3 linked regions of the Kluyveromyces lactis genome follow. The protein of the gene in region 2 interacts with the protein of the main gene of each other region in a pairwise test. Links are inferred from orthologs where the notes say so. Each region holds a gene or a part of one and is shown on either strand. Other genes may lie near its edges.

Region 1 (10,059 bases), on a different chromosome or scaffold from region 2:
TACTACGACGACACTGGCCGGTACTTCAAGTGCGGATAGTAGTACACAAGCGTCCATTACAAGTAGTCCCTCTTCAGCAACGGACGGTAGCAATTCGTCTGGGGACGATGAACCAAGTGTCGTATATTCCACATCCATTAAAACCGTAAGTGGATCAGTACAATACGTGACGACAAACATCGTGACAGCAAGTTCGACTTCGGGATCCTCAAGCTCAAACAACAACAGCAATTCCTCCTCATCGAAAAAGACACAAGTTGGGCCCATCGTAGGCGGTGTCGTTGGAGGTGTCGTGGGTCTGGTTTTGGTAGTCTTGGCTGTCATTTTAATACTAAGACATATCTCAAGAAGAAGAGAGGACGAACGTATGGAAAAGGAATACCAAGAGGCTATCAAACCGGTGGACTACGATGAACATAGAGATAACTACTTTACTTCCTCTGCTTCAGATTACATGCACCCTGGAGACAGCGATGGAAGTGGGAATGGACATGGACTCGATACTAGTATCGCTACAGCAACAGCAGCGGGAGCTGCTGGTGCTGCAGGAGGACTGGGATCCGGGTTGGGACGAACGCCATCTTCTGGAATACCGTTATCAGAATCCCAAGGAACTGTGTCTAACCCATTCGCCGACTCGAAAAGAACCAGTAACGGTTCACTTTTCGATTCACCCGACCTGCATCATGAACAACAGAATAAACTTACCGTTGTTAACCCGGATGAATAGATCTACATACCCACACTTCTATCTAATCGTTTTCCAATACCATACCATACTTTAGTCATACATACCGCTCTCTTGTTCTCATTCCATCGGTCGTCTGTGCTCCATAAAGTCGTTATTCCCGAGAAACTGAAAGTTACCCTACTTTCAATTCTTTCCCCCCAATAATCTTTAGCCGAGCTAATTTCAATATGACAAACATTCAAAGGATTTAAGTATAAAGACATACTCTTGATGGCAACGAAATTGGGTTCAGACCGATCCGGTGGCAACAGACAAAGGGACTTAGACGTTTTAATTGTATTGTTTCGTATACACAAAGGATTTACAGGCATTTACAACCTAGATACTAGAGTTTAGTTCTAAAATATCAAGCCAATAAAGTAATCATAGAATCAATTTGTTAAGAATTGTACCAGTGAGTTAAAGAGAAAGAGAGAGAGAGAGAGAGATATGTCCGTTAATTCTCATCCTATGGCAGTTCCTCATGAAGAGGAGGAAATTCTGACTTATTTCCTTGATGTCCGGTCGTTTTTGTCAAAGATGAAACAGAATAGATCTCAATTCCTTAACTCTAAGGATGTTATGGACACTTATCAGAAAGTGTTGACAAAAGTCAGGGAGTTGGATGAATTGCGTAAGAATTCGCATGCTACTCCTTCAAATTCTGCCACTACGCTGATTCATAGTTCGGAATTGCACAATAGAGTCGATTCTGTTATCGATGATGTTTTCCAGTTATTGTCATTGAGTTTCTTGACCGTTGGTTTGAAAAATTCAGCTCCAGCAACTTATGCTTCGCTCTCGACCGTGCAGAGCTTGTTGGAACATTTAAACGAATCGAACGTTTATACCCATCACGACTTAAGACCTATTAAAGAGAGACTTAATGAGGTCAGTGCCATCGTGGAACAAAACAAGTATGTTAGTAATAGCGACACTCAGAGCGTAAATGCAGATGCAGATGATATAGGAGAATTTGCTTTGCAGAAAGATGAAGAGTTGAACAAGAATAAGATCGAAGAAGATCTGTTGTTAAGAGCCAAGCTAAAGCATTGTATCGACGAATATAACGCCATCGAGTCGAAGTTAGAAGAGATCCATCCGGACTTGCAATCTACCATGGAGGCATTGTTCCAAATTAGAAGAGGTCTACTGTCACTGGCATCTTCTACAAAGAGGCCTCATCAGAAGCAATTGGTACCGGATCCGGCTGTTCTTTCGGTGGAAAGTGAGGCATCGGAAAAGAAGAATGTGTTACCAGATCAAGTGATCGATGAAAAATTGAAACAGCTACAAGAACAATTGGAGAAGTTAGAATCTCATCGTGATATCAACGGGAAGTTCAAATCTTTGGAGACCGATAAAGTCGAAGAAAAAGGCCAAAACGTTCTAAACGGTTTATTAGACGATTGTCATGATTTGGTAAATGATTTGTCCCATCAAAAGGATGGTGGTATCTCTCTCGACACCAAGTTGCAACCTATCTATGATCAACTAGTGGACATCAAGACTACTTTGGAAAATTTGTTAGTAACCAGAAGATGGACTCTAAGAGAAACTGATCTTTTCACATACCAAAAGAAACTAGGAGAAATCGATAACTTGAGAGTTAACGGTAAATTCCCAACGGACCACCCTGATTCTAAGGGCCAATCGATTTTGTTGTACTTATTGCGTAGGTGCTACGCCATCATTTATAAACTCTTAGAATCATCTGAACCGGTATCTGAATCTTTGCAAAGAGTTCATAACCAATTGTCAACAGTACGCAGATGCCTATTAGAATTGAAAAGAATGGGTGGTGTAGACAACGACCGCGAATTGTATCCATACCAGATGAAGCTAGCGTCCTTGGACAATATGCGTGTTGATGGTAAATTCTACGATACAGATGGTAATATCCCTGAAGGTCAAGGTACTCTAAACGCCTTGCTTGCCGAATGTTTCGATATCATTCATGAATTGAAGATCGAAGCTGAGGAAAGAGTAGAAGAAAGAGTGGATATACATGATGACGGTGAAGAATCAGTGGAAATGACAAAGGATCCAACCATGAGAGACGTCCAAGAACGGCCAACTGCGAGATACATGGACGTGTACGCTCATGATGACGAAGGTAATGATGATGACGATGAAGATGATGCTGATGATAACAACTTTAGTGAACATAGTTACGACGAAGAAGAGTATACAACTACCAGTTACGCGGATGATTAGAATATGCCAACGGCAAAACAAGATTAACCCATAACTGGAGAGAAAAAAAAACATTACCGTGCTGCTCTAATCAATGCGATCCACACAAGTGTATATTATATTGGACCTATTCCTTTATTCGTTATCTTTTTCCTTTCATCATCATTATTGTTCATTTACTATTTTGAAAGCAAGCAAAGCTAATAAAGTAAAGATGTTTGGACCTAAACACCATGTTGTTCTATGACACTCATCACAAAATTACAAATTATTTCAAACATACACGATGCATACACTGTTCTTCCACTCACAGAAAAATATACGTATATATAACAGGAAACACTACGGGCTAGTCTCCATTATCTATTGTTTTCTCATACCAATTCTAACTTTTTAATCAAATCTATTTCTTTTGGAAACCACAATTTACTCGGACCACCTTCTCTTGCTAGTGTTATACTGTGATTGTTTTATTCGACAATGCTCTGAATTTGACCGTGGACTCTGTTATATACAGCTGGATATACTTATACAACTATTAAAGATAACGGTAATTTTGCAGCCATTCTTGGTGACAAGGCCATTGAATAGTTGATTGTTGCAATGAATTTTTGGTTATATTCCCAATTGTTATGTAAACGTAATTGTAGTTCTTAATTTAGCAGTTGGCTGTATTTACCATTCGAGAAAATGTTTCTTGTAGGGCTTTTCACTCGAGTGTTTCTTCGCTTTGTCTTCCGTCTTTCAATCTTTGAAATTGCTTGTTTGCCTGTTTTTGAACGTTCGAACCTTTAAAAAGAGCAAAACAGGAAAAACGCACCTTCAACTGTACCAAATACGCCCCCCATATCATATCTTTTAATCTGCCCTAACTACAATCATCGACTTATATTTTTATACTGTTCTGTGAACTATGGTTGAATTACGTCGTTCTAATAGAATCTCTGCTAAGAAAGAACCTTTAGATTCCGAATCTGCTGAACCCATCAAGGTAAAGGCAAAGACAGAATCAAAGGTTACCAAGCCAAACGGAAAAAAAGAGGTTAAAAATGAAGATAGTGCCAATAAGCTAGCTGAGTTGCAAATTGGTGATGACATTCCTGATCTAACTCTACTAAATCAGGATGACGAGCCGATATCGTTGAAAGAAGTTGCCTCCAAGAATAAATTAGTGGTGTTCTTTGCTTATCCAAAGGCCAGTACACCTGGTTGTACTAGACAAGCGTGTGGCTACAGAGACAATTATAGCGAATTGAAGGAACACGCTGCTGTTTTTGGACTAAGTGCTGACGCTCCAAAGTCTCAGAAGAGTTTCCAAACTAAGCAAGCCTTGCCTTTTGATCTATTAAGCGACCCTAAACGTGAATTTATCGGAGCTTTGGGTGCTAAGAAGACAGCTGTTTCTGGTGTTGTCAGATCTCACTGGATCTTCAAGAACGGTAAACTAGAAGTGAAGAGGGTTCAAGTTTCACCTGAGGTCAGTATTGAAGAAGGTAAGAAAGAGGTTTTAGAATTGGCCAAGTCTTTATAAAACCCAGTGGCTAACATAGTTACTGACGATCGATTTCTCATATGTAATAGTAAATGTCAAAGGATTTAAACATAATTGAGAATGGAAAAAGATTTATATTACTATATACACACATAAGATCAGATTGAGTAGCGTTTCTCTCAAGGGCGTTTCATTTTTAATTGCAAATGAATCTTTCTCCTCATATAAGCACTGATAGATTAGAGTAGGATGGCCAGAAATTCTTCAAATCATGGTCACTTTCACAGCCTGATGGTGTAATCGTCTCCGCTCTGCGTAATGTAACGTACCCAAGGATAACTATTATACTGTAGCTTTGGTTCTTCGATTTTCAAATAACGAACTTGAATACCGGATGTTGTGAAATAAGGAATTTGGAATTTGATTTGTACTGGTCTTTTTAATTTTGGTGGTTCAGCATCAGAGACTGAGGGCAACCCCAGTTGCGCAGCCATTGAGTACTCTTTACCACCTTGGAAACTACTAAATTTCCATAGAATTGCATTCTTTTCAGGAACCCACTTGATATTACCACGAGAATATTTGAACGTGGGCGAATCTGCGTCTTCCGGAATCGGTATTAAAATCTCCACATTATTCGCTACTGACTTCTTTTTAATTTGTGCCTTTGCCCTACAGTGAATCTCGATACGAGACCCTGAATGTACCTGTACCTTAACGTCACACCATATCAAAGGTTTGATCGGGGTAGAGAGTCTATAAGTCATTAGATCAAATTCCCCATCAGGTGGGATGAACGTGATAATCTTTTCATTCTCAAACTTGCTCAATCTCACACATTGATGGAATTTTAGATCCTCAAGTTCTATATTACTATTCTTTTTCTTCGAAGAAACTACAGGTTCAGGTGAATCTTCTTGATCATTAGTTGTGAAAATACCTTTATCATTCAAACCCAATTTCAAATCAGGCATACCAGATAAACGGGATCTAACTTTGACAGTACCCAAGATCTCAGATCTTAATACTTGGCCCTGCTGTGTCATTAGCATATTGATCGATTCGATTACATCCAAGAACGCTTCGTTCTTCTTGTACTTGATACCCTCTGGTCTCCAACTGACAGAATTGGTCAATTCGGTTGGTGGTCTAGCCACATTCTTTTGCTTCTTCGCTGACCTAGTCAATTTGAATGACTTCTGAGTAATATACTGTTTCAACATTTTCGTTTCTGTCACTTGCGGAACGCCTTTATCCATCATTTCGTCTAAAAGTTCGTATATGATAATATAATTATCTCTGATTGACTCTTCTTCCACCCTTTTCACGTACTCCTCAACTACATTGATCAACTTGTACATGAAGGCGAACATAGTGGTAGCATTAACGGATACTGACCTGGTCAATGCTAGCACGTAAACATCGTTATACTGCACGTACATGTAGTGAATCCCATTGTGATGGAAACAAGGAGGCATGACACTGCTTTCCTGTTCTCTTTCTAGTAACAAATGCTGGAACGATTCGACAGCAGACTGTGAGACATCATCTTGGTATCTTCTCGAGAGTAGTGGCTTACCCTTTGAATCACAAAATGCAACGTACGAAGCCATTATACTGGTATCTTTTTAAGAAATGTTGCCTCCTGAAACTCCACCAAAGAAAGAGCAAAAAACACACTAGTGATACTGCACAATTGGTTACTATACAGGGTCCTATACCGATATATTAGTGTACGGTTTGGCTATTACTTAGATTGTTCATTGTTCAGACACTATTTATAAATGTAGTTTCGAGATTTCAATGCTTTGGATACCGAAATTTCACTTATTTACAGCGGTACACCACATACACGAGGTGCTAAATTGCATCTAACAATGCGAACACTCGGCAAGAGAGACCTTCAACCATGAAGTGTGTCATATACCCATTCAAATTGGACATTGGACGAGATCTGGTCTCTGTCAAACATCCGGGCCTTTTCAATCTTGAGCACGGGGACCATTCGAAGTCCAGGAAAATCCTGATTGAACCATAATTTGCACTCTCTGTGGTTCCAAAACTGTAGGGTTACATTGCCGATGACGAACAACGTATTCAGTGTATTCAATGTGATCCTATCATTGTTTATAGTTTCGTAATCTAGCACGCAGTCTACAGTGAAGTAGCATAGAATTAATGCTGTAGAGTCTCTAATCGTTGCATAAACGGTGTAATCGTTTACTCTATGGAATTTAACAATTCTGACGAACCTCTGAGGTGCGGGATTCAAAGCCGTTTGGAAAGCTGACTCTATGATATCATGTTCTAGTAAGTCCGTTACCAGTTCACGTTGTTCTGGCCAGAATTTCGTCTTTTCATTCTTTAAATAATAAGGCCTTACCGAAGGTTTAATCCATTCCTGCAAGAACACTGAATCATTATTCGTTAATCTTGAAGAAAGTACAACATTGGGCATGTGAGGATTGATAAGGTTAGAGTCTCTGTTCAGTGTATGTTAATAATGCTTCTCTGTTTCTGTACTACAATGGGTTTTAGGATGAGATTGTACCTTGATACAAAAATGTAAAAAAATTCCTCCGCGACGGGGAATTGAACCCCGATCTCGCACGCGACAAGCGCGAATTCTAACCATTAAACTATCGCGGAATAGTAAATTCGATGAGAGTTTATTGGACAAAATCATAATCCACGTGGCAAAAGTAGTCATGTGACTAGCTATGCAAAAATGTTAAAAAATGAAACGGACAGGAATTGAACCTGCAACCCTTCGATTGCAATTTTGTTTCCTTGGAAAATTCCCAGAATTTAACTGGAGTCGAAAGCTCTACCATTGAGCCACCGCTTCATTCTTGAAACATTTACGACAAGAATAGAATATAACCGACTTACTTTTGTCATGTAAAAGGGGCCACAGATGACACAATAGGTTCTGGTAAATATGCTTTACCCACGAGCATGGCCATAATAGAAGAAACATGGGAATGCCTTTGGAAGCTTTTGTTCATGTTTCATTATTGAAATAAATATCGGTATATCTCATTGATTTATATATATATATATATAGTTCAGATATGATGGCGTTTATTTCCATACCGCATGGGTAGATCAATTGGCAGCTGAATTGACAGTGAAGTTCTTTGCCCTATCAAGACCGTTTATACAAGATAACAACGCCAAGAATGAAGCCAGAGTAGTATCCTCATGAATACCAACACCCCATTGAACAAATCCTTCATGAGAGACAGAGATATAAGTAGCAGCTCTCGAATCGGAACTCTTACCCAAGGAATGCTCATGATAGTTTTTCACATCAAGATTAGTTTTGAAGTTTTTATTCACAGCATCGATGAAAGAAGAGATTGGACCGTTACCAGTACCTTCCAAATCCCATTGAGTAGTTCCATCTGATAGCTGCACCGAAAGAGTGAAATTCTCCGGAGATTTGTCATATTTATAGTCGATAAACTTGAATTTACCAGTAGTTGAATGAGATCCAACGAAATACGATTTCTCGAATAAAGAGATTAGTTCATCGCTCTTCAACTCTCTACCGACTATCTCAGTTTCATTTTGAACGATCTTAGAGTATGCAATTTGTAGATCTCTTGGTAAATCTAGCTCCAAGTTCTTTAGGATAACCCAAGAAGAACCACCTTTACCTGATTGCGAGTTGACTCTGATGATAGCCTCATACGTTCTTCCAATATCCTGAGGATCCAAGGGGAGATATGGCATTTTCCAAGGTACCACTGCATCTGGACCCTCTTTTTCTTGTAAAGCCTTAACCTTGTTGTCGTATTTTTCGAAACCCTTTTTGATGGCATCTTGATGAGAACCACTGAATGCACAAACGACAAGTTGTCCTCCGTAGGGTGCTCTAGCATGCACGGGAATCTTATTACATTTCTCAACGACTTCAATAATAGAAGCCATATCGGAGAAATCGAGGTTTGGAGATACACCCTGTGTGTAGAGGTTTAATGCCAAGGTAACCAAATCAACGTTACCGGTACGTTCACCGTTACCGAAGAGACATCCCTCGACACGATCTGCACCAGCCATTTGAGCTAATTCTGCAGCTGCCACAGCACACCCACGATCGTTATGTGGATGGAGAGAGATACATACTTTCTCACGTTCGGAGATACTTTGAGCGAAATATTCGATTTGGTCAGCGTACACGTTTGGTGTAGCCATCTCGACGGTAGCTGGCAAATTGAAAATGATTGGATTATCTTCAGTGGGTCCCCAAGCAGCCTTAACAGCTTCACAAATCTCTAGAACGAAATCCGGTTCACTATCGCTGAACGTTTCTGGAGAAAACTCAAATGACCAATGGGTATCTTGTCTATCCGGATGGTCTTTTGTCAAGGACCTAACAAGTTTGGCACATTTCACAGCCTTTTCAATACTTTCTTCATGAGACATATTGTTGAAAACGATTTCTCTGAAACATGGTGATGTCGCGAGATAGATATGTACAATGGCTCTCTTGGCACCGACCAAAGATTCAACGGTACGTTCGATCAAGGGTTCACGACATGGAGAAAGAACTTGAATGGAAACGTCTTCTGGTACGTTTTTCACTGCATATTGAGTGAATTGGAAATCGATATTAGAAGCACTAGGGAAAGCAACTTCAATCTCTTTGAAACCCAATTCGCATAACTTATCGAGCATCAGTTTCTTCTCTTCCAAATTCATCGGGTCAGGTAAAGACTGATTCCCATCTCTTAAATCGGTAGCTAACCATCTTGGAGCCTTATTAAGGGTTTTACTAGGCCATTTCCTGTCCTGTAATTTGACGTTGCTAACGAATGGTTTATACTTCACTGAAGGATCTTTGTAGAATGGCATCTTGCTCTAATGACTCTTTACTTCTCTATGTGCCTGATGGGTTTTCCTTTTTAATTACCAACCAAATTAAGGTGGTATGAATGATTTCAAGTTTTGAATGTATGTATATATATATGAATCAATGTTAGCAACACATCATCAGCTTTTTTTTATTACTCATAATGCACTTGGCAAATCGTTGATTAACCTGATGACATTTTCTTTCCCTTTGCAGCTTGACTGACTCATTTACCCTGGTCATCCATAATCAAAGTCTAAGAAATATCAACCGGTTTGCAGGTACGCTCATCTGCAGAGGTCTGTCTGTGTTACTCAGCAATTTTCTCGATGCCTTTAAAAATTTTTCAGAGTCATCACCATAGTATGGAAGAAGGGAACGGAACGGAGCTGGAAGTGACAGAGAAATCGATGGAAGAATGGACAATTTGTTGGAGAGGGAATGCCATTTTTGTGTGAGGTGTATATCCTGCGGTTGGGTAACTAACTATACGGTATAGTTGGTACTTTAGTTTTATTTGGTATACTCGGTCCCGTGACTTCTAAAGGAAAGCTATGAATGAGCAGAAAAATGGGAAAAAATGAGAAAAAAATAAAGCACTCACGGTGGGGGTCGAACCCACAATCTTCTGATTAGAAGTCAGACGCGTTGCCATTACGCCACGCGAGCATATTAATTGTTATTGAAGAGAATTTGGGGATTGGTGTACCGATCGACCTGACAAAGTCATTTCCACCCGATTTTTTTTTTTTGTGAGTTTTCCCTCTCAGCAGAAACCAAGGA
Region 2 (9,855 bases):
GATCAAGGGCAAGTCGTTGAGTTCGACACTCCTAAAAAATTGTACAATGACCGTGACTCTATATTCAATGAAATGTGTCGCGGTGCTGGTATTGTTCCTGCAGACTTCGAAAACTCAAAGTAATCTCCTGTATATATCATTATTTCTTTTGCATTACATTTTGTTGTTTGGTTTGGTGTGAACAGCATGTTTTCCAAAGACTTGCATTAGCATATATTTTCGGTAAGCAATGACTGCTTTCTATATATTTAATGAGCCTAAAATTTCTATCAGCCACAACGATCATTCATAGTTTAAAATCAATAATAAAACTTTACAAAACCATCAATCTTCTTTACCGTACTCCTAACATTCGAATAGTATTCCCTGTGTCTACGGCATACTATGTATTTTTCTTCTCTTCCGCACTTCCACTTATTCACCGTAGTGCACGTTTGTATAAGTATGGGAAATATTTAAAGGAAGAAATCTAATCAGAATTGAATTTGTCTATATTCTTGTTGCACATATTGAAATATCGCATACGAAAGTGCATGGAGACTTACTCATCACGTCGATACCTATCTAATCGAATGTCATTTGTCAGGTCTACGACTTCCAAATTTAAATTCGGTGCTCATGTCAGCGGTGCTGGTGGTATATCCAACAGCGTTACCAATGCCCATGAAATTGGCTGTAATTCGTTTGCAATGTTCTTGAAGTCGCCAAGACAATGGAATTCTAAACCGTATCCCGAATCAGAAATCACCAAGTTCAATGAGAACTGTGCAAAACTTTCTTATGATCCTAAAACTGATATTCTACCGCATGGTTCTTATTTCATAAATCTAGGGAACCCAGATCATGAAAAGGCAGAAAAGGCATACGATGCGTTCCTCGATGACCTGGTAAGATGCGAACAATTGGGAATTGGTCATTACAACTTCCATCCAGGATCATCATTAGATGGGGATCATGATACCCAGTTGAAACAGCTCGCAGGATATATTAACAAAGCCATCAATGATACGAAATTCGTCAACATTGTTCTAGAAAACATGGCTGGTCATGGCAATTTGATAGGAAGTAACTTAGAAGATTTGAAAACTGTCATAGATATGATAGAAGATAAAAACAGAGTTGGTGTATGTGTAGATACTTGTCATACTTATGCTGCAGGATACGATATATCAACAAAAAATGCCTTTGACCAATTCTGGAAGAAGTTCGATGCCATCATTGGATTCAAATATCTAAAAGCGATCCATTTGAACGATTCAAAAGCCCCATTAGCAGCAAACGCCGATAGACATGAAATATTGGGACAAGGGTTCCTAGGGCTCGAAGTTTTCAAGATCATTGCCCACTCAGAATTCCTTCAGGGGATACCGATAGTACTAGAGACACCACAAAAGGAAGACGCTGGCTACGGTGAAGAAATCAAACTATTGGAATGGCTAGAAACTATAGATGAAGAGGAAAACAAAGACTACATCGAGAAGAGATTAGCATTGAATAAACTAGGAGAAAAGTCCCGTAAAGAATTCCAAGCTAAGTTTGATAAGAAGAACAAGTCCACAAAGACCACTAAATCTACTAAGAGGAAAGGACCTTCTATCACGGAACAACTGACAAAAAAGACAAAGAAAACAAAGTCTTAATACTGCACCTAAATATGTAGAAATAATGACAGCATATGTATTTTAACCTTTTTATTTAATCAGCAGTTCTTTCGTTCTTCCAACATTGAGGTCAACAAGCGAATGCTTATCATATCTATGGAAAAAAAAAAGTTCAACCCTATGTCAGGGATCGACGTAATATCGTCTGCACAAACATTTAAAGTTTTGATTTTTTTGGGTCGAGGGAGTTAAGATAAGTTCAGTCGTGAAAATGGGTTCGAAGTATTTGTGTTTGTTTTGTTAACTCTTTCGGAATCGCTACGGTAGTCAAAGCTCGAAAGTACCACTCACCTAGCTTGTTACATTACAAATATCTGTGTATTTGGTACTGTATTAGGGTGCTTTTTTCACATTTTGTTTGCAATAGAGCAAAGAAAAGAACAAACACAGAAATATTATATTCACTGGAAGGTTTTTAGAACAAGTGGGGCAATTGTTGTTTTTGGATAAACGTAAGTACAGAGCTCAACTGGACCCATCTGCCAAGCTATGAATGATATGGATACTAGAACTGAACCTAATGTCCAGCTGACAGAGACACCAAAGCTTGCCCAGAGAGAGTTTGCAGGAGGAGATGCGGAGTCATCGGTCAAGAATCAGCTTCCGGAGATCAATTCGAGTCTTAATAGAGAGGCAATCGATGTTGGTATGTTGCCGACTCCAACGGCAAATGTGTTTACTTCACCAGTTAGGGTCAATAAGTCACCTGGGGGTTTTGATGCCGGGCTGCAGGTCGAGAAAAGACGTAACAAAGATAGCGCCAGTAACTCTGGAGTTCCAAGTCCTACGATATCTTCTGTGGATACTCACGAGGAAGTACTCGATGAAGAGCTCTCAAAACTTGGTACCTACATGAATCGTGATGTCACTCATAAAATAAAAGGAAGGATGTTATCTGAATATATTCCAAATAATTCAATGGGCGATGGTAGTGGTGGTGTTGCTGTTCAGCGTTCAATTTCATTAAATAATCGTGTCGTCGAGAAACCTAGTTTGAAGAAAGAGACTATCATCAATGAGGTTATCACTTCTGTACCATCGGATAAAGAAAATGAACAAAAAGCTGATGGTACGATTATTAGGGGATACATGGCTAACACTCCAAATCATATTAGCTTCCAATGGTCTAAAATAAAAGAGATTGGGTCAGGAAATTTCAGTACTGTCTATCTTTATGAATGCATCGATGATAATTTGAACATCAATTTAAATCCGGAACTGAAATATGTGGCAGTTAAAAGCATTAAATATCCGAGAGAGTTACTTATGAGCTCATCTCCGTCATCTCCGAAATACAAAGAATTATTGAGTCGAGTTGTAAGTTCTTTGAAGCGGGAACTGACCACTCTAATTTCTGTGCACCATCCATGTATCGTGAAACTCTTTGCAATCAATGATACCACGTTTATTACAGATGAACATCCATTGTACGGAAGGCGTAAGCTCTCTGCTTTACCCAGATGTGATATGATAATGTCATATTGCACTGGTGGTGATTTGTTCGATTTGGCTAGCAAAACTAAAATTCCAAACTGGCTACTCACCAGAATTATCACAGAATTATCCGTTGCCATAAAATATTTGCATGATAATTTTATCATTCATCGGGATATTAAACTTGAGAACGTCTTATTAAAGTATACTCTAGATGATATGATGTTATTAAAAGAGGACGAGAGCCAGTTCTTTTCAAAGAATTTCGTAGAGTTAGCAGATTTTGGTCTCTGTAAGAAGATAACCCCAGATGAAATGTGTACAACCCGTTGCGGGTCAGAGGACTATGTTTCTCCTGAAATTCTCTTAGGACTTCCGTATGATGGAAGAATCAGCGATGCTTGGGCCTTTGGAGTAATTACTTATGCATTGTTGGAAGATAGGTTGCCGTTTGACCCCTTACCTGGTCAGAGTTCAAGAAGAACCCGATCCATTGCCCATAGAATTGCAAGATGCGACTGGAAATGGCTAAAGAATGCAGACACCGATCATCCTGCCAAAGAGATAGTCCAGAACACACTCGTAAGAAAAAGCGAACGTTGGAACATGGATCAACTTTGCAACACACCCTATATTCGTAACATTATTGATAAATTACAGTTTTTAGACCATCAAGGATAAATTATATAGATCAGCATTTATATACACAACCAACATACATTAAAATCTAATGAAACCTGATATTCTACTCAACGAACATTCATTAAAAGTATACCTTCTAGGATCTTCAATTATTGCATTCTGCGTGCCAGCTTGTCTTTCATTTATTGTTAACGTTGTTATGTAGGTAATGTTGTTACCTTAAAAATCCAAGAATTAACTTGAATACGAAATTTAATCTCGTTACAGTACGCTCACTGATGAAATTGATAAAAGAAGAAAGGAAAATAAGAAGACTACTAGAAGCTAGGATCAGTAATTGGTGCTACTATTGACAATCAAAACTACATAACAACTATGCCTATCGAGGAAACTGAAACTGAAATCATCCTGACACATCCTAACAATTCATCAACAAAAGCAAGAATTCTAAAGTATGGTGCCACGGTATTTTCCTGGGAATTAAAAGGTGAAGAGCAATTATGGTTATCTACTGCTGCTAAGCTCGATGGTTCCAAACCGGTTCGTGGTGGTATTCCATTAGTTTTTCCAGTTTTTGGTAAGAACCATGATGATGAACATCTAAGTAAATTACCACAACACGGTTTAGCAAGAAATTCCGTATGGGAATTTTTGGGCCAAGTGAAGTCTAACCCTCCAACCATTCAGTTAGGCTTGGGACCTGAGTTTGCTAATGAAGAGCTAACCAACTTGTGGCCATTTGAATACTCTTTGGTGCTATCAGTAGAACTTGGTGATGAATACTTGAAAACTGAAATTGAGGTACTAAATACAAGCACTACGCAAAATTTGAAGTTCAATTGGTTATTCCATACTTACTTGAAAATTGATGACATTGAAGATACGTTGGTTTCTAATTTGAGCAGCACCAAATTGTACGATCAACTATTGAAGGAAAGCTATATTGACAGACAACCTGTGATTTCTGTGCATGAAGAATTAGATAGAATTTATCAAAATGTTGACGAAGACAGAATCATCCAAGTGATCGATAAGGGGTACCCAATCCATACCTTGAAAAGACACAACCTACCAGATACTGTCGTTTGGAATCCGTGGGTGGAAAAATCTAAAGGTATGGCAGATTTTGAACCAAAGGATGGGTTTAAAAATATGGTGTGTGTCGAACCAGGTCATGTTCATGATTTCGTGGTTTTGGCACCAGGCGAAAACTGGGTTGCCTCCCAGATTTTGTATAAAGATGAATTGAAGTTCCAAAAGGTCTAAATAGCTTTTTATTCAAAGCCGCTCAATATCATAATATATAATAGAAATTTTTGTTCGTATTTATACACCTATATATGCGCATGACTGTATACAGCAAATAAATGAATTAAATCTTGATAGAAATCGCCTTTGCAGACCATCCGATCATACCTATTCAGCTTTTTCTTCGTCATCTTCATCATCTTCTTCTGGTAATGCCTCATCCAGGTTGATTCCGGCGTCAGCGAAGGCTTGTGGATTGAAACCTTGTTCCATTCCAGGGAAGCCAGCGCCCCCCATTTGGCCAAATTGTGACATCAAGTCGTTATCAGCAGCAACATTCTCTTCTTGTTCATCTTCGTCAACCCATTTATCAAAGTCGGTTTTAATGTAATGATACTTAAGCTTCTCCTTGGTCAATCTGGGCCAGTATTCAAGGCCTAAATCTTTCTTCCTTAACACCAAAAAGTAGTTTCTACCGTTAGCTACCCTCTGCTCCGAGTTTTCCGTATCAATTGGCTTGTAGAAGTCAATGTGCAAATGGTATTTGATCCCATCTTTACTGTGATACTTAGATAGTGCACTGAATTCCAAAGAATTTTCGGTTAATTCCATTTTAGGGTTCGTACAGTCTGGAATATTGATGGTAATGAACAAATTGTTCTTGGTATCATCGGATTCGCTTGAACGTTGAGCCCATAAAACTTCTGGAGTGTGAACTGACATGTTAATTTGATTTATTGATTGGTAATTGGCGGTTTAAGTGTAATTTGTTCCAATTGTACTCTCTTTGTTTGAGTAACAGTTTGTATGTGAACGCAATATTTGTTATTAACATTTTCTGTAACTGCTTCAAATTTCAAGGTTACCTTTAAATATAAAACAGAAGAGCAGGAAGCTTCTAGATAAAATTTAACGATATGGGAGAGAGAGACAAGATACAACACCAACCACCACCAGTCATACATCCTTTTCCGAAAAATACCAAGCTAGCAATGTGCACTTACAAAGACTCTATATGTGGATCAATTTATAGACAGTGATGGTTGGAGACTTTCGAAGTTCTTTCAAGAAACCATCTAGGTCACGTGATATATATGTATATATATCCACACACTAGGATTGAGCTGATTTCGCCTCAACAAAGGGAAACTTCGACCTCTGAATTTTAGCAACTGGAAAATTTCCGCTAATCCTGGTCATTCGTACTGCGTATAGTATATTCATATGTATATATCCCTCCGCTGTATGCGTATGCAAGACTTATATAAGAAAGTGAAAAAAAAATTAGGTACTTGAGATTTCGTTTCTACTGCACATCATCAGCAATTAACGAAAGGTCTCGATCAAACCGAAAAGCAGTAACTCATACGGGCCATTCATAGTAACGGTCATTTGAATACTATGTCATTTAACACTAACGTTTTTACTGACTCTTCATCAACTTTAGGATTAGGCTACAATGGTGTTAAAGTAACTTTGAACTATTTCGATGGTCTACCGATATTGCAAAACGTTCAATCTACTGACTTGCAATTGTGTTTCAAGTCATTACTAAAGCGAGCGAATACTACCAAGGAAAAGGCTTTGAATGATCTTTTATCCTTTATACAAGATGACGATAAACTCTCTATTTTCCAAGATGATATGTTCATACTATCATGGTGCCAAATTTATGCAAAGTTGATCTCGTCTGATTCGAAGACTATAAGAATCCAGGCACATCAATTCACTGCTACTTTGATAGCGAAGTTTGGGAAACGTGTGTCCAAGTTTCTGAAAGAGCTTATCCCAATGCTTTTGAGTGGACTCTTCGATGTAGATACGGCGGTTGGAAGATCATGTTCTGATAGTTTGCTCAACTGTTTCAAGGACTCTAATAAAGTTAACTCATTATGGAAACTATTCACCTCAGAGATTTTAAATTTTATTAAACAGGTTATTATAGTAGAAACTGCAAAGTCCATATCCGATGAAAGATATTACACAAAGGAAGACATTTCATTGAGATATAATCAATTATTAATTGCATCCATCCGCACTTTAACTAAACTTATTAGTGTCGAGGAACTTACCACTGATCAAATGGAGACTTTGCACGAAATACTCACAGATGAAGAATTCTGGAATAACCTAAGTTTAAAAGATACAAAAAATTTGAAGGGATACCAGTCTCTTTTACATCTAATGATTGAACTTCGGTCTAGACAACTATATCGAAAAAACAAGGAAGCTTTGAAACTTGCCTCCAAGAAATTACTCGTGTCGTTGTCACAATGTAACGCAAAAACTCTTATTTCAGTATCATCTGTTTTACCTGACATTTTGAAAACGTTGTTGGAGATGAACAAGTACAAAGATGGTAAATTCTGGTCTTATGAAAAGAAAAGTAAAGAGCGATTACTTACATTCCTCTCATTGGGGCCTGGAATATCGGATCCAGTATATTACTCTTTGGCATATCAACTTTCTGCTGAATCGAGCATACTTGAACATCAAGAATGGCTCTCGATCTGGATCAAATATCTCGATCATGAAAATGATCGGCGGGTACTAGGTCGGAATGGATACAAGTCATTGATCGAGGCTTGGAAAAATTGCATCAAGTTTAGTATTTCATCATCGGACCAAGACAGCATTCAACAACTTCATCCTAACATCTTAAGGCTTATCACCACCAAAGACCTAAAGGAAATTCCTGAGCTTGTTTTAGAGTTATCACCTACACGCATCAACTATGCTTTTTTATACGATCTAATCATTGATCTACTTCCTTTGGGTAAAGGTGAAAAAAGAAAGGAAGTCTTACTTATATCCAATACCTGTCTCATTTTGTCCAGTGATATCACAACTATGCATATGTTGAGCGTTGAAGTTATGAAATCTTTGGAGGAGTTGGAAAATCCTGACGATCTTCCTTCTTGTTATGGCTTCATTTTCTACGATAACTTGATCAAAACCAATAACTTGAACCTTACCAAAGAGATTAATACTTTTATCGACGTATTACCCACGTTAGTCTCTGAGGCTTTCTTCAAAATTCCAATGGATGTGATGATAGATTTTTCAAACTCTGCATTCTTAGCGAATTCTACTTGGGAACAGTATTTTGACGATTTTATAATGGTTTTATCCCAATATGAAACACCAAAGAAGGCAATTCCTTCGTTTTTGGCTCGCTTGAATAGTGAATTTCTCTCAAAACTCATGCATTCAAGTCAATCCTACAAGGATTTCACCGAAGATTTTGTCTCCACTTATCAGTTTGATGATGATTCTATTTTCAAATCAAAAATACTAAACGGTTCTCTTCTACTCAGGTTATATGAAGCTTCTAAGAAGCAAGGTCATGTCAAGGCATTTAAAGATTATTGCACCGAAATTCCAGAAACAAGCGAAGCATATATAACTCTATTATCAAATTCAGATTTTCTATCACAGAGTCTAATTGTTGATCAAAAAGTTACAATACCAACTACAGCACATTCTGACCAAACAATTGCAAATGCTGTTTTTAAGACTGTTCTCGATACTATATCCGTTGAATGCTTGATAACGGAAGATAGCATTGATGAATTTGTTCTTCAACTACAACAGGAGTCCTTACTTACCAGGCTTTTTATTAGTTTAGATTTGGAAGTCATGTTTTCCAGATACATCAATAAAATCGATACACGCACATCCGTCACTTCTCCCTTAGGCTTACTGCCACATATATTGACAGCTAAAGGAGACGCTTCATTAGTCGATTATTTGAAATTGATTAGACTGTCACAAGTTGTGGATAAGATCTTAACCCGGTTCCCAGATGAAGTCAGTACTTCGCATTTGTTGTTTTTAACGAGATGCTACGAATTAACTGCTGATTATAATTGTTTGAGCGATGAACAAATAACATATTTCCATGAAAACAACATATTCTCCTCCTGTGTGAATGTCTCTTTCGAAGATTTGATCTCTTCATTTACAGAAGACCAAAGCAATGAAATTCTCACTGTTCTCTTCGACAAGAACTCTTCGGAGGTCACATCCTTTTACAATTGCAAAATTATCTATAGAATTTGCCTCAACAGTGTTGACTATCTCTCTATCTCTCAGTTTGATAAAATTATGGATGGCTTCTTGCGAACTGCTAGAAGTTTGCTTTCTAGCAAGGCATTGCTTGTCCCACGTACTCTTTACATGTATGCGATTTTCGCTGCAAGCTTCAAGTTTAACACAGTAAGTGCCAATTTATGTGTCTTTAGAAATTACCTCCTTTCTGAATTAGTGGGCGTTAGATGGTTAAGTGCTTCAGAAACACAGAAGTGCTTCGTCTCCATGTTATTTTTATCACAAATGCTTGATTTCAACGTCGATACATTCAATTCCTCTCCTCTAGATGACAGGAGACTCAATATGGCATTAGTATCAGTAACAACCTTGATGCAAAGTGAAGTATGGTATGACAATTCCTCTAATGATGTGAGATTGGTCATCATACAGTTTCTTGTTAAGCTTCACAATTTACGAGAAGTTTTGGATGCTTCAGAGAGACTATTGGATTGTTCAGTTCAACTATTACAGGATTGCCTTGGATTTTTAGAGCTTCGGGAATTTCAATATTATGACGAACTACGGTACTATGTCTTCGTATTGATAAACTGCATTCAAAATCCAACAGCATTTTCAGATGAAGTCGATCTTGCAACTGTCATTGATGTGGCTTTTAGTAATTCAGATCTGGAAACAGCTGTCAGTACGGCATATTCTAAACCATTGTCAGTATTTTTGGGTGCCTTACCCTATAAAGAGAAGTCAGGAATATTCGATAGATTACTGAACGAATATTTCAACCCCCAAACAGCTCTTGTTATAATGAATGTTTTACTAC
Region 3 (11,061 bases), on a different chromosome or scaffold from region 2:
ATTCCAGTCGTAGGCTTACGTTTACCCTTAAAAAGATGTGGGAATTTCACTGGAAGAATCACAGCTTCCTTCAATGCTTCTTTAGCACCTTCTAAACCAGCGATATCCTCCCATTTAACGTTAGGCTTTTCTGTCAAGATCGCCCCTGATAAGGCTCCTCTTAGCTTTTTATCGTCTGCATCGTCCTCTGTATTGGAATTGCCACCTGAACCAGAAGCAGTGGCTGCCTTTTTTGGCTTTTCTTGTTTCTTCTGTTGTTCTGTTTCCAAATGCTCCTTTAATTGTTCTGCACGATTCAGATACTCAGTGAATTTTGCTCGAATTAAGTCCTTAGATTTGGGGTTCTTCTCATACTTTAATGCTAGCATCAAATAGTCTAATCCATTGTAATATGCGGTGTAAGCCTCGTCATATTGCGTAGCTGTGTCTAAATCAATGGCTTTTTGTATTAAATCAATTCCCTTTGTTAAAAAATCACCGGTGCTCATATCAATGTAAGTGCTGTGAGTAGTGAACACTAAATTGTAATCTTGAAGCCGTTCTACAATTTGAATGGCTATGGTATTTCGAAATCACTATGGAGCAGGAACAGAGGGGTAAACTGAGTCACGTATCAGTCGACACACATTTAAGGCAGTACGTATCTCTATTATAATAGGCTTTTTGCAATTACTTGGGAACATCAACATAAGAAAATGTATTTGACTATGCTTTATCAAATCACGTGATTAATTACAATGTCTAATGAAATGTTCATCTACAGCACTCTTCGGATACTAGCAGTCGTGATCCTAGATTGCTTATGAGAGAGATGCCCCAGTCATATAATAGAAGAGTCTCACACTAAATATCTTTTTGCCATTAACGTTAAATAAAATAGTATATTTGTATCGAGGAAGTACTAATTCTATTTAATTATTCTGTACATATTTATAAGATTTTATAACAGAGACATTAGTAGAGTGATCTTATTTTTTATCAACGTGTTGTTCGTGGATCTTGGCGTATCTACCGGAAGGATCTTCAGCACAACCCCAGTCAGCCTTTGGAATCCATCTCATGACAGTGGAAGCAGCGGTCTTTTGTGGGAACAAAGCATCGAACTTCAATCTGTACCAGTAGGCTTCCTTGGTAGTTGGAATATCGTCACCCCATTCAGCCTTTGGTTGAGCGAATTGTTCATCAGAGATAGTGCTTTCAGCTGCATCCTTTAGACCATCAATCCAAGAGTAACCGACACCGTCGGAGAATTGTTCCTTTTGTCTCCACAAGATTTCTTCTGGTAAGTATGGTTTCAAATCTGGTTCATCCGTGGTATCGAATGCCTTTCTTAGAATGTATTTTTCGATCTTACCTTCAGCTGGTTTGATCATCTTGTCGTTTGGATCAATGTTCATACATAGTTGTAGGAAGTCCCTGTCCAAGAATGGAACACGAGCTTCTAGACCCCAAGCCATGGTAGATTTGTTAGCACGCAAACAATCAGCCAAGTGCAAGTTCTTAACTCTCTTGACAGATTCGACGTGGAATTCAGCAGCTGATGGAGCTTGTGCGAAGTATAGATAACCACCAAAGATTTCATCGGAACCTTCACCGGACAAAACCATCTTAACACCTTGAGCCTTGATCTTACGAGAAAGCAAGAACATTGGGGTGGAAGCACGGATAGTAGTGACATCGTAAGTTTCTAAGTGGTAGATAACATCGTCCAAAGCGTCTAGACCTTCCTGTAAAGTGAAAGTATGTTCGTGATGGATAGAACCGATGAATGTAGCCACCTTACGAGCAGCTTGTAAATCTGGAGCGTTTGGCAAACCAACAGCGAATGAGTGCAATCTAGACCAGCCAGCAGCATGTAGATGACCTTGTTCGTCAAGCCCAGCCAATTGATGTGGGTCACTGTCATAAACAACTGGATCAAGTTCGGCATTAGTTTTTTCTGTTTCTCTTGCGGCAATAGCAGCAATCAAAGAGGAATCCAAACCACCGGACAATAGAACACCGTAAGGAACTTCAGCCATTAATCTCTTTCTAACAGCCTTTTCCAAACTTTCTCTAACAGCCTTAAAGTCAACTGGGGTGGTTGGAATTCTGGATTCGTCCAACCAGTCAGGAGTGAAATATCTGGTCAATTTGTCAGTTTCAGAGTCGTATACGTGACCTGGTGGGAAAGCAATGATTTCATCACAGTCATCGGTCAAACATTTCAGTTCACTGGAGAACCAAACAGACTTTGGAGAAGCAGAGGATCTACCCATGTAAAGAGTGGTAATACCGATTGGGTCTCTGGCAGCGATGATACGATCCTTCTTAGAATCGTACAAACACCAAGCGAACATACCATCCAAGTGTTTTGGAGCATCGATATCGTACTTTTCGTATAATGGAATGATAGGTTCACAGTCAGACAAAGTCTTGAATGGATAGCTTGCACATTCTTCTCTCAACATGATATGGTTGTAAATTTCACCATTGACGGCCAAAGTGTAAGAACCATCTTCGGAAGTGATTGGTTGGGCACCAGAGTCCAATCCGACAATAGCCAATCTTTCGTGAACTAGAATAGTAGAGTTCTTAACAATGTTACCTGACCAATCTGGACCACGGTGTCTGATTCTCTTGGATAATTGTAAAGCTTTTGGTTTGTAAGCCTGAACATCAGGGTTTCTGAATGAAGCAAATATACCACACATCTTGGGTCCTGTTACTTCGTTATTCTGTATATCTAATTGATAAGAGCGAGTAAAAAACCAATACTAATACAAAACAAAGATCCTAACATAAACATATAAACAATTCTTATTACAAGCGAGCATTAGTTTTCTTGTGATGAGCATCAATTCTTTATACTTTTTCCAAAATTTTTCACCAGAGCTTGAATCGCCGTATTCTTTTTTCTTTCGAGATATTGAAAATGACTCAGTATCAATTGCATATCAAAAGAATATGACAAAGCAGCAGAGAAACGAAAAGTAACGAAGTGAAAATGAAAATTGGTGCCAGATTCTAACTCTGATTCATAGTTGATTCATTTGTTCCCGCTCCGACTTGTCATATTCACGATACCATCGTATCACGGCATTTTTTTCTATCTAATATTTACGTTTACGTTTACAGTTAGTTTAGTTTTTGAAATGAATCGCACAAGGCGATTCATATTAGCAAGAAGCAAGACTCAAACACACAAACTCACATCAAGTCTATACATGGGATGACCTTCCCAAAAAGAATCAGAATTTTATAAAAAGTGTCCCAAATCATTCAAAGAATGTAACAAGATTATAAGGCTTGCGAGGGCACCACATTCTCCATTAAAACCATGAACAGAAAATAATTCCCATCCACGAAAGAATTGTAAGAATTAAAAAAGCGCAAATAGTATCATCGTCTTCTTTTAAAACTTGGAAGGTCATGTGGATTTAAGCCCAAAAAGAGTAATACAAGTAAAGCCTATCAAAGTTACATCTCTTCTACATCACCAATTGTGTCTTGTAATTTCTTGGTTCATAAATCTTTCTCTTATATATGATGAAATTCGGGCTAGATCATTTTATACTAATCGTTGAAATTTGTATGCTGTTAGGGCTCATAGGCTGCCGTGAACTGGAGGATACGCACCCCCTGAAGGAACGAGCATCAGTGTGCGTATTCAAGGTGATGCAGGCAAGACTTGACTGACAACAGAATGGTTTACCACTCTAAATTATATATTTAATGTCGCCATTGATAGCTAGTTTATTAGGAAATGCGATCACGTGATAAGAATAATTTCTTTTCAATTGTCTTCTACATTGCAAGAATCTCTGAAAAATTTGGAATCAAGAGATGAGATGAGATGAGATGAGATGAGATGAAGTCGAATAGGAAACGTTAAGGTAGGATATTCTCACCGTTATAATCTGTTTGATTACTCGCAATAAATAATTGGAATTCACATATAAAAGTTTCCCAAGGATTCAGACAGCGATTAACCAAGATGCTCTCGAAGGAAGAGATTAAGCAAGTTTGGAAGTCTATTAGCACCGGCAATGATAGAAAACATTACAACTCGTTGGTGAACCTAATCCATGGGTACAATGAACTTCTAAAGGAAAACGAATTGTTGCACAATTTGGAAGATGATTACCGTTATATGACCATTGCTTTGAGTCAGATTTTCATCAAACTTTTTGAGCGTGGTCAATTGATGCCTCATCTTGCATCCAATGCCAATGAAAAGAAATTCTTTGAATGGTGTAAGAAACTATATTTAAATTATAAGGTTAAGTTATTGGCTATCATTACATCTTTGCATGAAGTTAACTCGTTGAGTTTAGATTGTTTGGACTCATATATGAAAATGCTTCACCATGAATCGATATATTGGGCTTCGAAACCAAATAGTCCTTTCTTTCCAAATAAGACTTTAAGATCGTTACTAGTGGCTCTTTTCCATTGTAACTTTGAAGGTGATATCGGTTTCAAAGATGGTCAGAGCGAGAATCCCGTGTTTAATCTATTTGTGGAAGCCTATTATAAGAAGAATTTCGATATTCAATTCTACACACAATCAGAACTGATATCGTTGTTACCAGAACTTGATGGCCAAACATCTGACGAAATTTTGATGTCTAAATGGTTGGCTTTATGCAACAACGATGTTCAGGGATCACCAGACTTGGAAATATTCGTATCTGTGCCCCCACAAGCCATCGAGAATGATGCTAAGTTTAAATCCAACCTCGAAACAAATTGGTTGCACTGTCTAAATTTAGCCAACTTATCCAGTAGCCAATATAAAACTGTGCTTTTAGTGCTACACAAGAGAATTATAGTATGGTTCCATCAACCAACAAAGCTTATGGATTTCCTTACCGACTCTTACAACCAAGGTGGTATCGTTTCAATCCTTTCATTAAATGGTTTGTTTGAACTTATGAAAAAATACAACCTAGAATATCCAAATTTCTACTCAAAACTATATCAGCTTCTAACTCCAGAAGTAATGCACGTTAAGTACAGATCAAGATTTTTCAGATTAGTGGACACCTTTCTATCTTCTACACATTTATCCGCACAACTGGTAGCGTCATTCATCAAACGTTTGGCACGTTTATCCGTATCGGCACCACCAGGTGCTATTGTTTCTATAATACCATTCGTGTACAATCTAATCAGAAAGCATCCTACATGTATGATTCTATTACACGATCCAGAATACATCGACTGCGATTCAAAGAAAAGGCAAGAATATCTAGATCCATTCAACAATGAAGAAACCAATCCAGAACTTACAAATGCTCTTTCCTCCTCAGTATGGGAGCTAGAAACGCTAATGAATCACTACCATCCAAACGTAGCCACTTTAGCGAAGATTTTCCAACAACCTTTCCAAAAGTTAAGCTACAACATCGAAGATTTCTTAGATTGGTCTTACGATTCACTTTTGCAAGCAGAAACCAATAGAAAGCTGAAGATCCAACCTGCTCTTGAATTCGAAAGGTTTGAAACAATTTTCGAATCAGGTTCTGATTCAGCATTCCTACCCTTCATAAAATGGTAAATACATAATTTCAAGTAGAAAACTTAAGTAGTTCAATTCCAAATTGAGTACTTTCTTTCACTTTCGCAAATCTCTTCACATTACATCTCATCACATCGCCGTAATATTGAAACATCGAGATGAAAAAAATCAACAAGTCAACATCAAGAAGAGAAAGACTCACATCAGAAAAAACTTTAAAATGGGCTCCGTTTATCGGTCTTGAGGACTTAAAGGCACATACCATACCAGTTGGCTGCTTTTTTACCACTACTATTGAATAAATGACTGAGGAAGTGAAAGCCTGTAATCCAGAGAAAGCCTTAGAGCTGAAGAATGAAGGTAACAAGTTCGTGAAGGAGAAACTGTACGCAAAGGCAGCTGAGTATTATACAAAAGCCATCGAGCATGATCCCGAGAATACGATCCTATATTCAAACCGTGCGTTCACCAACCTAAAGTTGGATAACTTCCAAAGTTCTTTAGACGATGCTAAACGTGCAATTGAATTGGATAATAACAATTTGAAAGCCTATCACCGCAGAGCTATGTCTTACATTGGGCTACTAGAGTTTAGAAAGGCAAGGAAGGACTTGATCATTGTGTTGAAATTCAAGCCTAACGAGCTCACTGCAAAAAATGCATTAGCAATCTGTGATAAAGTCATACAGAAGGAGAATTTTGAAAAAGCTATTAGCGGTGGAGACTCTTCTAAAGTTGATTTATGTCAAACTTTAAATATCAGCTCATTCGATGCAAATGCCGATCTCCTCAAATATGATGGTAAAACCTTGGAATTCGAACAAGTGAAGTCAGATTCTGGGGCCAATGCTGGTGTCAGAGTTAACAATATGAACCAGGAATTCATTTCTTATATGATTAATGAGATTTTCCTAGAAGGTAAAAAGCTTCCAAAGGCTTACGTTGCAGCGATCATTTCTCATGCAGACTATTTGTTCAAGCAAGAAAACAGTGTTGTTGAACTTGATAACAGAGAAAAGCCGGATACAAGAATTTCTGTATGTGGTGACACGCATGGTCAATTTTATGATGTTCTGAACATCTTCAAAAGTTATGGGAAAGTAGGCGGCTCCAATGTATATTTATTCAATGGTGATTTCGTAGACCGTGGATCATGGTCTTGTGAAGTGGCCATTTTATTCTATTCTTTGAAAATCGTGTATCCACAGAACATTTACTTGAACAGAGGTAATCATGAAACCAACAGCATGAATAAAGTGTACGGGTTTGAAGACGAATGCAAATACAAGTACTCCCAGCGCATTTTCGATCTTTTCTCACAAAGCTTCGAATCTCTACCATTAGCCACTGTCATCAATAGTTCATACCTGGTCGTGCATGGTGGTTTGCCAAGTGATACTTCTGCCACTGTAGAAGATATGAAGAAAATTGATAGATTCCACCAACCACCAAGAGAGGGAACATTTATGGAGTTATTATGGGCGGATCCACAGGCTCCGGATGGATTTGGACCATCTCCTCGTGGCTTAAGTAATGCGTTTGGGCCTGACATTACTAGAAAGTTCTTGAAACAGAATAATTTAAAGCGAATCTTCAGGTCTCATGAAGTTAGACAAGGCGGTTACGAATTTGAGCATGAGAATCAATTGGTCACTGTTTTCAGTGCTCCTAACTACTGTGACGCCGGTGGCAACCTCGGTGCAATCATTCATGTTGTTCCAAACACAAAATCTGAAAAGAAATCATCTATCGACAGCGACTTGGTAATAGAAACTTTCTCTGCTTCACCACATCCAGATATTAAACCAATGGCATATTCAAATGGAGGGTTAGGATTTTGATCCCTCATCTGACCTGATCTGATCTTTTTTCGATAAAGTTGTAATTAATAATATTATTAGTCTATTATACAGTCTTTGGGATTACCTATATATGTACATAGTTTTGCGCTTTAATAAATGCAGATGATTCCCTCTATCATATAGAACTTCCTCTTTTCAACTGTCACCAGCAGTTTTCACCAAATCAAAGAACTTCTCCTTGGAAACCTCCGTTATCAACTCTTTTCTCTCTGAACGGTTCTTCACACCACCCAATGAGTCATTGATTTCCTTTTCAGTCTTAACCTGAGTAGAGAGAATTGCATTGAATAACTTCACAACACCTTTCTGGGCAATCTTTCTTAGTTTACGTTCCTTCTCAAGAATTTCTCTAATTTCATCCGAGTTTGCGTCTGCAGCCACAACAGGTATAATATCTTTCTTTCTAGTCTTATTGAGTAGTTGTTTCTTCTCTGTGAGTATAGCTCTCTTAGCCTTTTGCTCTAACTTATCTGCTTCATTTTGCTTTAAAACTTTCTTATTCCTAGCCATAATGGGATCTTTACGGTCGTATGCTTTCAAATGCGATGATAAAATATTGGTTAACGCGCTGGAAAATGTGGATGATCCATCATCGTGTTTGGATTTGGAAGACTTCTTCTTTCTTGGGAAGTCATCGTCATCTGGTTGGTTCACCACATCTTCATCGTCACTGTCTTCATCACTGGCGTCATCACTCGACACTTCATTTAGATCCATTTCATCGTTATCTATTTCGGAACCTGTACTGCCTTCAGAATCCACATCAGAATCTACTTCATCAGCCAATTGTGATACTTCATTCTCTTTGACTTTCGTTTGAGCCCTGATCTTTGCAGACTTGTCATTCAACTTGCTCTTTTTGGTGACAGGTATTGTCACTTTACCCTTGCTACTCATAGTATTTTCAGGCGGCTATACAATACAAAGCTGTCCACTGCACAATCTACCGGCAAGTTAACCTTCTATTGAGATAGTGTGAATTCAATGATGGATCCTAAAGGCCCAGATACAGTCTTGAAAGCGATGAGATGAGTTGTGCTTCACTGAAATTTTTTTTGGCATGTTCACTAACAAAAAGAAATACATTCTATCAACACACCCATACACCACTGCAAATTTGACGTTGGTGGAGCCGCCGTCATAAGAAACTTGAAGCTGAACTCTCTTACTAGCCTGTGGTTCCCCGACTGTTGGGTTTATTGGAGTGTGGTGTATCTGTAATGGTTCCTCTACTTGTTCAAGCTACCCAAAGAAGGTTTGTTGTGTACTGAAGCCGGTTCAGTTTCGAAATATGTCACATATACTAGTAAAGATGTAAACAAATAATAAGATCAACCGAAAACAAAACAATCTTGAAACACCAAAGGAGACATAGCAATTGAAGAACGTATATAAACCAGTACCGCTTTGGAAAAGACGTGTAATAAGGTAGTGGGTTTGACTAAATTAAACTGGTTGGCTGATAATCAAACGGAATATGAATGGACCGCCGTCAACGCCAGAAAGATGTTCATCGAAGGACGGTTCTAATATACCTTCTCCAACCCAGCAGGGTTCAAGTTCACCAAAATACAAACCAAGGCAGTCGATAAGATTGAATCCAGAAGATGTACAGAGTATAAACAGAAGAAGGTCTCTCACGCCCAGTACTGAAAATAGAAGCTCAACTCATATGACATTCTTTTACAAAGAAAACCTGAAAGAACTGAATAGATTGCAAGAAGAGTTGTCCAGAAAAAAGATCAAGTTGAATACCGCACAGGATGAGATGAACTCGTTGAAAAGCAAAGTGGAAACTGTAGAGTTCAAAATGAACAATTTGAAAGAGGAGAAACAAGTGAAAGTACGACAAATCGGGTTAAAGCAGAATGAATTGAATAGCATGGATCAAGATCATGAATTGAAGTTAGAGTTTATGAGAAACGGATTTGATCTAGAAATAAAGAAGATAGAGGGAAAATACCACTGTGAAATGAATGAAACAGAGTCGAAATTCAAATTTGAAGTGCAGCAGATTGAATTTGAAAAGATTCAAAAGTTTAAACAAGAAAAGGAACATTTATTGAAGGACATACATAACTTAAACGATGAGGTAAATAATAATGACAATGTCATTAACCAATTAAAGGAAGAACTTGATAAGAAATACTCAAATCTTAAAGAGAAGTGGATGGTAGAGTTTCAGACGGAATGGAAGAATATCACAGAAGCTAATCAGTCCATGATTAAGGATATCAACAAGTTAAGTCAAGATATAGAAAATGACATGACTAATGAATTGGATCAATCTAAAGACAAACGTAACATTTTAGAAAAGGAGCTAGCAAAATTGGAAGAGAAGCTTAATGAGAAGAATGTATTCAAGGAATCTATTACTGTGCAAATAGACACTGTCGAAGAAGAAATAGAGCAAACTATCAGTCAACGGAAAGAACTCAATGAGTATATCACTAATTCCAAAAACGAACTTTTACAAATCAATGAAATACTGATAAAAGAGGAGACAATGCGTCGTAAGCTTCATAATGAACTACAGGAGCTGCGAGGAAATATCAGAGTATACTGTAGAATAAGACCGCCTTTAGAAAACGAAGTGCAGGATATATCGCACATTCATGTATCTAACTTTGATAATAGAAATGGATCGCAAGCAATAGAGATAAGCAATGAAGATAGGAACAGCAGATTCTTATTTGACAAAGTATTCAGCTCTAATGCATCAAATCGAGACGTTTTCGAAGAAGTTGGCCAGTTGATTCAGAGTTCACTGGATGGCTATAATGTTTGCATATTCGCTTATGGTCAAACTGGTTCTGGAAAAACTTATACTATGATGAACGATCCTGATGGTGTAATACCAATGACATTAGATCATATCTTTGACTGGACGCACCTCTTGAAGGAAAGAGGATGGGATTATTCATTTGAGGCTCAATTTATCGAAATTTACAACGAACAAATCGTTGATCTTTTGAGATCTTTAAATCCCGAACCAGGTCCGACAAAATACGAAATACGACACGATGGGGACTCTCAAAGAACCTCAATTACCAATGTCACGTCCATAAAACTAGAAACACGTGCGAGAGTGAATACTGTCTTGAGAACAGCTAATAAAACGAAGTCGATTGCCGCCACAAATTCAAATGAACGCTCATCAAGATCACATAGTGTGTTTACCATTAGAATCCATGGAACTAATAGTATTACTGGAGAAGCTAGTGATGGTGTCCTAAATTTAGTAGATTTGGCGGGATCTGAAAGAATTGATACTTCAAATGTTACAGGTGACAGACTTCGAGAAACACAGAACATCAACAAATCATTAAGTTGTTTAGGCGATGTGATTTATGCACTCAACGGAAAAGATATGAAACACATTCCATTCAGAAATTCAAAGCTAACATATTTACTACAGTATTCATTAATTGGTGACTCAAAAACTTTAATGTTTGTTAATGTATCCCCTAGTTCGAACCATGTGAAGGAGACGTTAAACTCTTTAAGATTTGCTTCCAAGGTAAATTCTACCAAAATTAATCAACATTGATGTTGCGGTCAAAATTTGATTTGTGTCTGTTATATTTTTCCATGCTAGAGCAATAAGGAGATATAACAAATTTAACTGTAATATCAAACTTAATAAATAAATACAAAATTATTTACAGAAGTAGTAATCACGCAATGACTGTTTTC

The links.
Region 1: the proteins of SBA1 (region 2) and DOT5 interact in a two-hybrid assay, tested with the Saccharomyces cerevisiae proteins (2 studies listed by BioGRID). The link is inferred for Kluyveromyces lactis from reciprocal best matches to the Saccharomyces cerevisiae genes SBA1 and DOT5.
Region 3: the proteins of SBA1 (region 2) and PPT1 interact in a two-hybrid assay, tested with the Saccharomyces cerevisiae proteins (2 studies listed by BioGRID). The link is inferred for Kluyveromyces lactis from reciprocal best matches to the Saccharomyces cerevisiae genes SBA1 and PPT1.

Annotation. Positions count from the first base shown.
Region 1 is NC_006040.1:1,212,546-1,222,604, reverse strand, and holds DOT5 (thioredoxin peroxidase DOT5), read left to right. Parts: upstream 1-3,839; coding exon 3,840-4,457; downstream 4,458-10,059. Other genes in the region: SLG1 (Slg1p), read left to right, coding at 1-730; CUB1 (Cub1p), read left to right, coding at 1,181-2,947; APM1 (Apm1p), read right to left, coding at 4,700-6,031; telomerase subunit EST3, read right to left, coding at 6,322-6,876; KLLA0_D14201g (2-isopropylmalate synthase), read right to left, coding at 7,527-9,278.
Region 2 is NC_006039.1:1,238,840-1,248,694, forward strand, and holds SBA1 (Hsp90 cochaperone SBA1), read right to left. Parts: upstream 5,709-9,855; coding exon 5,154-5,708; downstream 1-5,153. Other genes in the region: ATP-binding cassette transporter YOR1, read left to right, coding at 1-123; DNA-(apurinic or apyrimidinic site) lyase APN1, read left to right, coding at 534-1,640; serine/threonine protein kinase PRR1, read left to right, coding at 2,151-3,776; KLLA0_C14300g (glucose-6-phosphate 1-epimerase), read left to right, coding at 4,113-5,003; ubiquitin-protein ligase RKR1, read left to right, coding at 6,387-9,855. UniProt on the Saccharomyces cerevisiae protein: Acts as a co-chaperone.
Region 3 is NC_006038.1:950,143-961,203, forward strand, and holds PPT1 (protein serine/threonine phosphatase), read left to right. Parts: upstream 1-5,805; coding exon 5,806-7,344; downstream 7,345-11,061. Other genes in the region: AAA family ATPase VPS4, read right to left, coding at 1-488; ASN1 (asparagine synthase (glutamine-hydrolyzing) 1), read right to left, coding at 969-2,693; ribosome biosynthesis protein NOC4, read left to right, coding at 3,977-5,542; rRNA-processing protein RRP15, read right to left, coding at 7,501-8,262; KAR3 (Kar3p), read left to right, coding at 8,843-10,915. UniProt on the Saccharomyces cerevisiae protein: Protein phosphatase that specifically binds to and dephosphorylates the molecular chaperone Hsp90 (HSC82 and HSP82). Dephosphorylation positively regulates the Hsp90 chaperone machinery.